Macaca fascicularis: one gene and its partner. The protein of the gene in region 2 purifies or fractionates together with the protein of the main gene of each other region. This does not show direct contact. Links are inferred from orthologs where the notes say so. Each region holds a gene or a part of one and is shown on either strand. Other genes may lie near its edges.

Region 1 (2,789 bases), on a different chromosome or scaffold from region 2:
TTCCTGCTCTCTTTCTCTGGCCCCATCTGCGGATCTTCTACACTGGACACTGCATCCTAGCCTCGTAGTTTTGAGTACATCACACATACCTCCACACGTGCACAAACAGGTAGCTGTCTTCACCTGGAAATCATCCCCTTCCTACCTCAAACACCCCCTCCCTGGTTAGCTAACTTCTAATTCTTCTGACAATCAGCTTAAATACCCCTCCCTCAGAAAAGTTTTGCCTGACCCTTACTTCAAGGAGCTGGGCTTCTTGCCTTGTTGCTCCCCAGCTCAGTACCTGCCTGGTGCCCCTCCATGGCAGGGATGAGAACCAGCTTGCCTCTAGCCCAGCATCTGGACTCCGGCCTAGTATATATATGCTCAGTCAATGCTCACTGAATGAATGAATGAAATCGCCATGATTATCTAAGCCAGGTGGTCTAGGGAGTCAAGTCATGGTCAGTAGGGGCAGGAGAAGCCATAGTGACCACTGTGAATGGTCTGAGAGTGTGCCCTTGCTGGGAACACTCTGTACCTGTCCCACTGCCATGCTCCAGCTATTCCCAGAACGAAGCATGCCAGGTGTGAAGGACCCCCAGAGAGCAAAAAAAGGCTGGGCATCCAAAATAACAAGGAAGCCACATGGAAACCAGGAAGTGGGGAAGACTGACCTGAAGGCTGGGCTGCCCAGAGGCCTGAAGGGCATGCTGTAGGGCTTGGCTGAAGAGATCATTGGTGATGGGCGTCCCTGACTGGACACCAGAGGACATTGGTGAGGTCCCTGAGGAATGGCCCTAGAGACAAATCAGTGGTCAGTGCCACCCTCAGAGCCATCTCAATCTTATAGCAGATACTTGCTGTTGTCATATCACCCCATAGTGCTCCTGAGGTACCCAACTTCTGCCTCCCAACAAAGACCTGCCATGAGACAACCAAACAAAGGTACCTAGAAGCTCTCTATGTGGGCAGGAAAGGTTCCATTCTTTTCTGCACTGAGTGCCTTGTCCCACCCTAGGACCCCAGCACTGGGAGAGATGGCCTTGAAAGCTGAAGTGACTTTTCACCCAGAAATGCTTAAGCTGGTGGTGTCTGCTCCCTGTCAGGGATGAGGAAGGGCATATTGTGTGAGGGGAGAGTCTTCTGAACTAATAGGAGGGACTACTCAGGACCATGTTAAAATCTAGACCTCTGAGTCCTCAAGGCAAGTGAAGGGGAGGTCACTCAAGCTGCAGTAAGAAATCCCCACCAGGAGTCCAGGGTTCAGCTTAAACTAGATCTAGCACCAGGGTCAGCAAAGGCAAATCTATTCTACTGCTGGGGAGCTTGTTCCTTGGGGACCCAGCCTTGATCTTCCAGGCCCTGTCTTCATACCTGGGTGCCAGGAGTCGGTGTGTGAGAGCTGCTCTCCGGAGTGCTGGCCAGGGCCAGGGCGGTGGCCAGCTCACTCTGGGTGATGGGCCGGGGCCCAGCAGCTCCACTGTACCCCAGGGAGGCTGGGCGGGAGCTGGGGGTACTGCTAGAGGGTGTGGACCTGGTGTTCTAGAGAAAGAAGACACTCAGAATCAGGCAAGCAGTACTATGAAACTCCCAGATGAACTTCACCCACCTCCAGGAATAGTTCTTGGGGAAACTCTTAAGCTCGCAGGTTCAGAAAGGAATCCCAAAGCAGAAATAGTATGACATGGTCTTGGCCCCTCAGTGGCCTGTGTCCACCTCCCAGCCTTGGGAGTGCCAGGTCCCAGGATGCAGCTCATTCCCAGCACCATCTACCCCAAATGGCAGGCAGGCAGGCAGTCCACTTACTGGGTGAAAGTCGTCCTCATCATCCGAGAGCCCTTCAAACAGGAAGCCACCTGGAGGAGGACGAACAGATTTCAGGAGGAAGAACAGAAAGGCACAGGCGCAGCTCCAGAATCTCAGCTCAAGTTACTCTCCAAATTCATATTTTCATCTCTCCCCTCGGAAAATTACAGGACAGATGCACTTCCTGACTCAAACCGAGAGTTCCCAAGGAACGCCCTCTGCCAACGCTATACATAGCTGCTGAGTAAAGCAAATTCCTGGGCCACTGCCGGCTCCTAAGGGGCCCATATTACACTATTCAGGGGCTCACCTGGCATATCCCGGTATGAGCTGGAGGGCATGCTCCGGGAAGAGGAGTCAGTCCCTGGCATTGGGGCACTGCCTGCTACCGAGTGCAGAACCAGGACAATGGCATTGACGAGGGCTGGGTGAGCAGGCACCAACCTAGGACAGAAGCAGGAAGAAACCCAAGGGTGACTCCAAAAGAGCACCCTCGACCATGACAAGAGTTCTGGGTGCCCTCTCACAACAATGCAGCCACCTGTGCCTGCCCTCAAATTCCTCGGTCTTCAGCATCTTCCGCCAGGAAGATTTATCCTCCTGCTGATCTGCCCCCAGCAACGGGAGCAAGGCCTTCAATTCCTGGGTCCACTGCAGATTCTTCACCCTCTCCATAGGCAAGGCATGATGGGAAAGGTGCAGCCTGGGAGGCTCAGGGTTCTGGCCTGAGCACATGAGGAGCCTCTGGTCTAGGCACCACTACTACATCAGGCAACCCTGGACAGGTCCCTTCTCTTCCCAGGGTGGGGCTGTTTTCTTCACTTGCAAAATGAGGACATGTCCTTTCCAGCTTTGACACTTTATGGATCTGTACACCTGCTTCTCCTTTCACCAGTTTAAAATCCTTGGAAAGCTCCCTAATTTCTACCAAATGAAACCTAAACTGAGCCTGGCAGGCAAGATCCTTTCCCTCAGAATCCTGCTTCCTCCCAACACTCTTG
Region 2 (4,463 bases):
TTCCAACTACAGAGTAACAATACAAAGGCAAAAGCTTTGGAAATGTCTCAAGAGAATTGCTTACCTAACCTCAAAAATTTTTAATTGAATTTTTAAAAAATAACTTCAAAGATATTTTTTCCAAAAAACTATTCGTCTGGCTCCCACTTTGGGAGGCTGAAGTGGGAGGATCGCTTGAGGTCAGGAGTTTAGACCATCTCAGGCAACACGGCAAGACCCCTGTCTCTACAAAAAACAATAAAAATTTTTAAAATTAAAAACAAAGAATTATTATTTGTTCCAGGTTCTGCTGTGAGTAAAATTAGCAGTTATTGAATCAGCTTTTTGTGTTCAGGACAACTAATTTGTTGAAGATAATTTTACATTGATCCTGTATTAGTGAATTTAATTTTTCTCATTTGTTTGAATATTCTGCTAACCTTGAAAAAAAGTTTCTTCTATTTCTTCCACAAAGGTTTCATGTGTTCCTTATATGGTCACAAAAAAAGTTACACCTTCCTCAAGGACTGAGCAAAGTGAAGAGACACATTTTAGATTATACAGTATATTCATGGTCTGTAACGCCTCGCTGGTTTGAAAAAAATTTCTTGGTGAAAACTCAAGTGTGCAAAGCCTCTAAACAGATCATCAAAAAAAAAAAGTAATTTCTGGGAGTAAAGTACTACTAAAAAACAGTATCTCTGGCCCATCGCGGTGGCTGACACCTGTAATCCCAGGACTTTGGGAGGCCGAGGCAGACGGATCACGAGGTCAGGAGATCGAGACCATCCTGGCTAACACGGTGAAACCCCGTCTCTACTAAAAATACAAAAAAATACAAAAAATTAGCCTGGCGTGGTGGCGGGCGCCTGCAGTCCCAGCTACTAGGGAGGCTGAGGCAGGAGAACGGCGTAAACCTGGGAGGCGGAGCTTGCAGTGAGCTGAGATGGCGCCACTGCACTCCAGCCTGGGCGACAGCAAGACTGAGTCTCAAACAAACAAAAAACAAAAAACAGCATCTCGGCTTTAAGAGAAATTACTCACTAGAATTAACATTAATGAAAAACGGGGAAGGGTGGAGAAACTTAAACCACATAAAACAAAGTGATTCTTAGGAGATCTCTTGATATTTCCTACCGAATGAAAGAAACTGTGTAATATTCTCTTAAGATTACATTTCTGATGTATTTATAAAAACACAACGTCAGTAACGCAGAATGGGCAATCCTGATTTTCCAAACCAAGTATCCAAGTATCACAATCAACAAAATCATTTGCTTCCTTTCCTACCTGACCCTTAACACACCACTGCCATGTCCTACACCTGGAGAATTTCAGTCCCTAAGTAAACACACTAAATACTCTGTAGCCAAAACTGGAGCATGGAAATCTTGTAGTACAATCAACCTGATGGATGACTGCTTTCCTAATACTGTAGGGAAGTTTATATGATGAACCAGTGGAAGAAATGTGGAGGTAGGCTGAAGAGGGTATGGCCAGCAGGGGTCCTGAAAGGGAAGCTCCCAATTTGTAAAAAGGAAGGAAAAAGGCAGTAGAAGCGTAGGAAATTCCTTGTACCCTGATTGCCACTGCTTTTTTTTTTTTTTTACAACAATCTAACTTATTAAACAATCTTTAAAACATCAAGAAATAGATCGTATAACTCCTTCAAGAAATGATAACAGGAGAGAGTTTACAAATTCATTTGCTACCACTTGCTTCCTGTTCAGTCTCTGCTACAGCAAAACACAAGTTTGAAAGATTCAAGAAGTAGAAAAAGATAGAATGTAAGAGAAGAATGCCAGAAGTCATTAGTGGTCTTATATTAAGTCACTAGAATACAACTGGAATTCTCTTAACTGTTGAGAAGATACATATTTTGTTAAATATCAAAGAATCTGTCTGTAAACCATCCCTCAAGCAAAAAGATATGTTTAATCAGCTTATACAGTTAAATAACCACACATATTTGGAATTTCAAATGCTTTCTTTAAAAATATTCACCCACCATACATTCTCATTCCATCCAAAATCGTGCTTTAAATTCCTGACGACACACAACACACTTTAACTTGATGTAAATCTAGCCGTTCTTCTTTGCATACCCTGAAGAAAAGAATAAACACCTCAAGATGCTCTCTCCTCTTTTTCAGACCCTAAAAGAACACTCGGAAAGAAGCAAATGGAGTTCAGAATGAAGAAATAAGGCAAAAGAATAAAGGAGAATAAAACCAGAGACCCTATGGGGAGTCATGTTATTCTTGGAAAATATCATCTCCGTTCCTTCTCCAAGCCCAAAGGCCAGACAGCACTGGCGCAATATCATCCCTGTCCAAAGCGCTAACGAGTTGCCAACTAATCCCTCAAGGTGTCCCCCAACCTCCTCACCTCATCAGCGCTCAGCTCCTCCATCGCTTTCCTCTTAATGGTGAAAGGCGTTAGGGAGAGATCCTTCTGTTCTCGCGACCACGGCGGGAGGAAGGAGAGTGGAAGGTGTCTATCAGGCTGTCTGGTCCCCCGAATGGGGGAGGTTTCAGAATTGCATAGTCAGAGGTTAAAAAATAAGAACACAAGAGGCACTGAACTGCCTTGGCTTCGGTCACTCCAATCGCCCCAGAGACTACTACAGCCGCTTGTTCCCTGAGCAGCCTCCTCTGGCCGCCACTGCTGCTGCTACAGGGTTATCTTAAGGCGCCACTTACTTCCCTCTGCTTCCCAGGTTACCCAGACTAGGCAGCGCGGTCTCCAGCTCGTCTCGTGCCCCGAGCCTGCTGTGTCTTCGTGATAGTGGCGCGGTAGCTGCGTTCCTACAGCAGATCCTGCTCTCCTTCCTACCCTTTGCCTCTGGCGGGAACTGGTCCACTGCAGAGTGGATACCCCGAGGTAAGGCGACCCCACAGCCGTCCTGGCAGAGCCCAGCACTGTAAGGGAAGCCCCTCCCCTCCCAAAGCAGGCCGGCCACGCCCCGCCTCCACGCCGGAGCCCGGGTAGGGGGGAGGGGGAGGATGGGACGCGCGTAGCTCTCGCTGGAAGAGTAAATCCTCCTACCCCTCCACCCCTACTCTTTCCCCCTCGCCCCACCAAGTATTATTCATCAAAACAACAGGGCGGCCATCTTTGAAAGGGATCACGTGACCCCCGTCAGGGAGGCGGGGCTTCTGGCGCCGGGACGTGGCAGCCAATAGGTCGCGGGCGCCGCGCCGCGGAGTTCTTCTCGCCTGCGTCCTCTCCCCGCCCCCGTCCCACCCCCTCCCGCGCAGCCGCGCCGGCCGGGGGGAGGGGCAAAGGGAGGCGGGCGGCAGGGCGGGGCGTTGCCACGGCGACCGCGCAGGGGCGGCGGGCGCCGCGGGCCTGGGCCAGGTAGGCTGGCAGGGGGAGAGACGGCTCCCGGACGCACGCCGGGGAACATCCGCCAGAAGGTGGCGCTGGCCCGCGGCGCCTCCGTCGTTCCCACTCGTCTGCTTTTCTGTGACCTGGGAGCCCAGAAACACCTCATTGCTCCCACTGGATTCTGCGCGCCCGCCGCCTAAGCGAGGGATAAGAAAACGAAAAACGTCTCCTTGTCCGCGGGAGCGCGATCTACCCTATTGAGCGCTCATTTTCTAAAACATCTGCTACACACTCTTCCACCTCCTCCAGGAAAGGCCAGTTGGAAGAGAATTCGGACACAAGAACTCCCATTCATTTTACTTTACCTTGGCCTTTTAGAGAGATACTTCCTGGGGGTTTTTTTAAGTGTGTTCAAAAAGTATTGATAAAAGTTGAAAGTATAAATGGATGAGAAACCCAAATCACTGAATTGTACACAGCAAATGCAAAGAAGACGTTTGGAGTCAGTGGGTGAAAACCATCTTCAGGTGCACAAGAATACAAATATTTGGCCGGGTGCGATGGCTTACGCCTGTAATCCCAGCACTTTGGGAGGCCGAGACGGGCGGATCACAAGGTCAGGAGATCGAGACCATCCTGGCTAACACGGTGAAACCCCGTCTCTACTAAAAAAATACAAAAAAACTAGCCGGGCGAGGTGGCGGGCGCCTGTAGTCCCAGCTACTCGGGAGGCTGAGGCAGGAGAATGGCGTGAACCCGGGAGGCGGAGCTTGCAGTGAGCCGAGATCTGCCACTGCACTCCAGCCTGGGCGACAGAGCAAGACTCCGTCTCAAAAAATAAAAAATGTTATATAAATCTAAGTTGAGCGATCAAAGTAACAGTACCATGAAATTCCCGATTTTGCCACGGACTAAAGACGAGAAGTGGATTGGATGGCTCACTAAACCGTAAAGACTATATTCCAGAATTAAGAGTTACAATGTCTTTGCTACATGCTTAAAATAGGAACCTGACTACTAGATACTTAAGGAATTTGTGAGTAAAAATAAACCACTGCTGGCTTTGCATATTATCTGCTCTCCAGGAAAGGAATTCTGTGTAAGCCAGAACTTGAACCCCTGGTGACATTGATGTTAAAAGTTTACTTTTTTTA

What was found.
Region 1: the proteins of UBE4B (region 2) and UBL7 purify together in Homo sapiens (affinity purification with mass spectrometry; 3 studies listed by BioGRID and IntAct, counting the BioPlex papers as one, with this or other methods). This does not show direct contact. The link is inferred for Macaca fascicularis from reciprocal best matches to the Homo sapiens genes UBE4B and UBL7.

The regions. Positions count from the first base shown.
Region 1 is NC_088381.1:51,557,915-51,560,703, forward strand, and holds part of UBL7 (ubiquitin-like protein 7), read right to left. Parts: intron 2,233-2,789; coding exon 2,099-2,232; intron 1,839-2,098; coding exon 1,789-1,838; intron 1,525-1,788; coding exon 1,357-1,524; intron 780-1,356; coding exon 657-779; intron 1-656.
Region 2 is NC_088375.1:224,785,246-224,789,708, forward strand, and holds the start of UBE4B (ubiquitin conjugation factor E4 B), read right to left. Parts: upstream 3,109-4,463; 5' UTR 2,392-3,108; coding exon 2,368-2,391; intron 1-2,367. UniProt on the Homo sapiens protein: Ubiquitin-protein ligase that probably functions as an E3 ligase in conjunction with specific E1 and E2 ligases. May also function as an E4 ligase mediating the assembly of polyubiquitin chains on substrates ubiquitinated by another E3 ubiquitin ligase.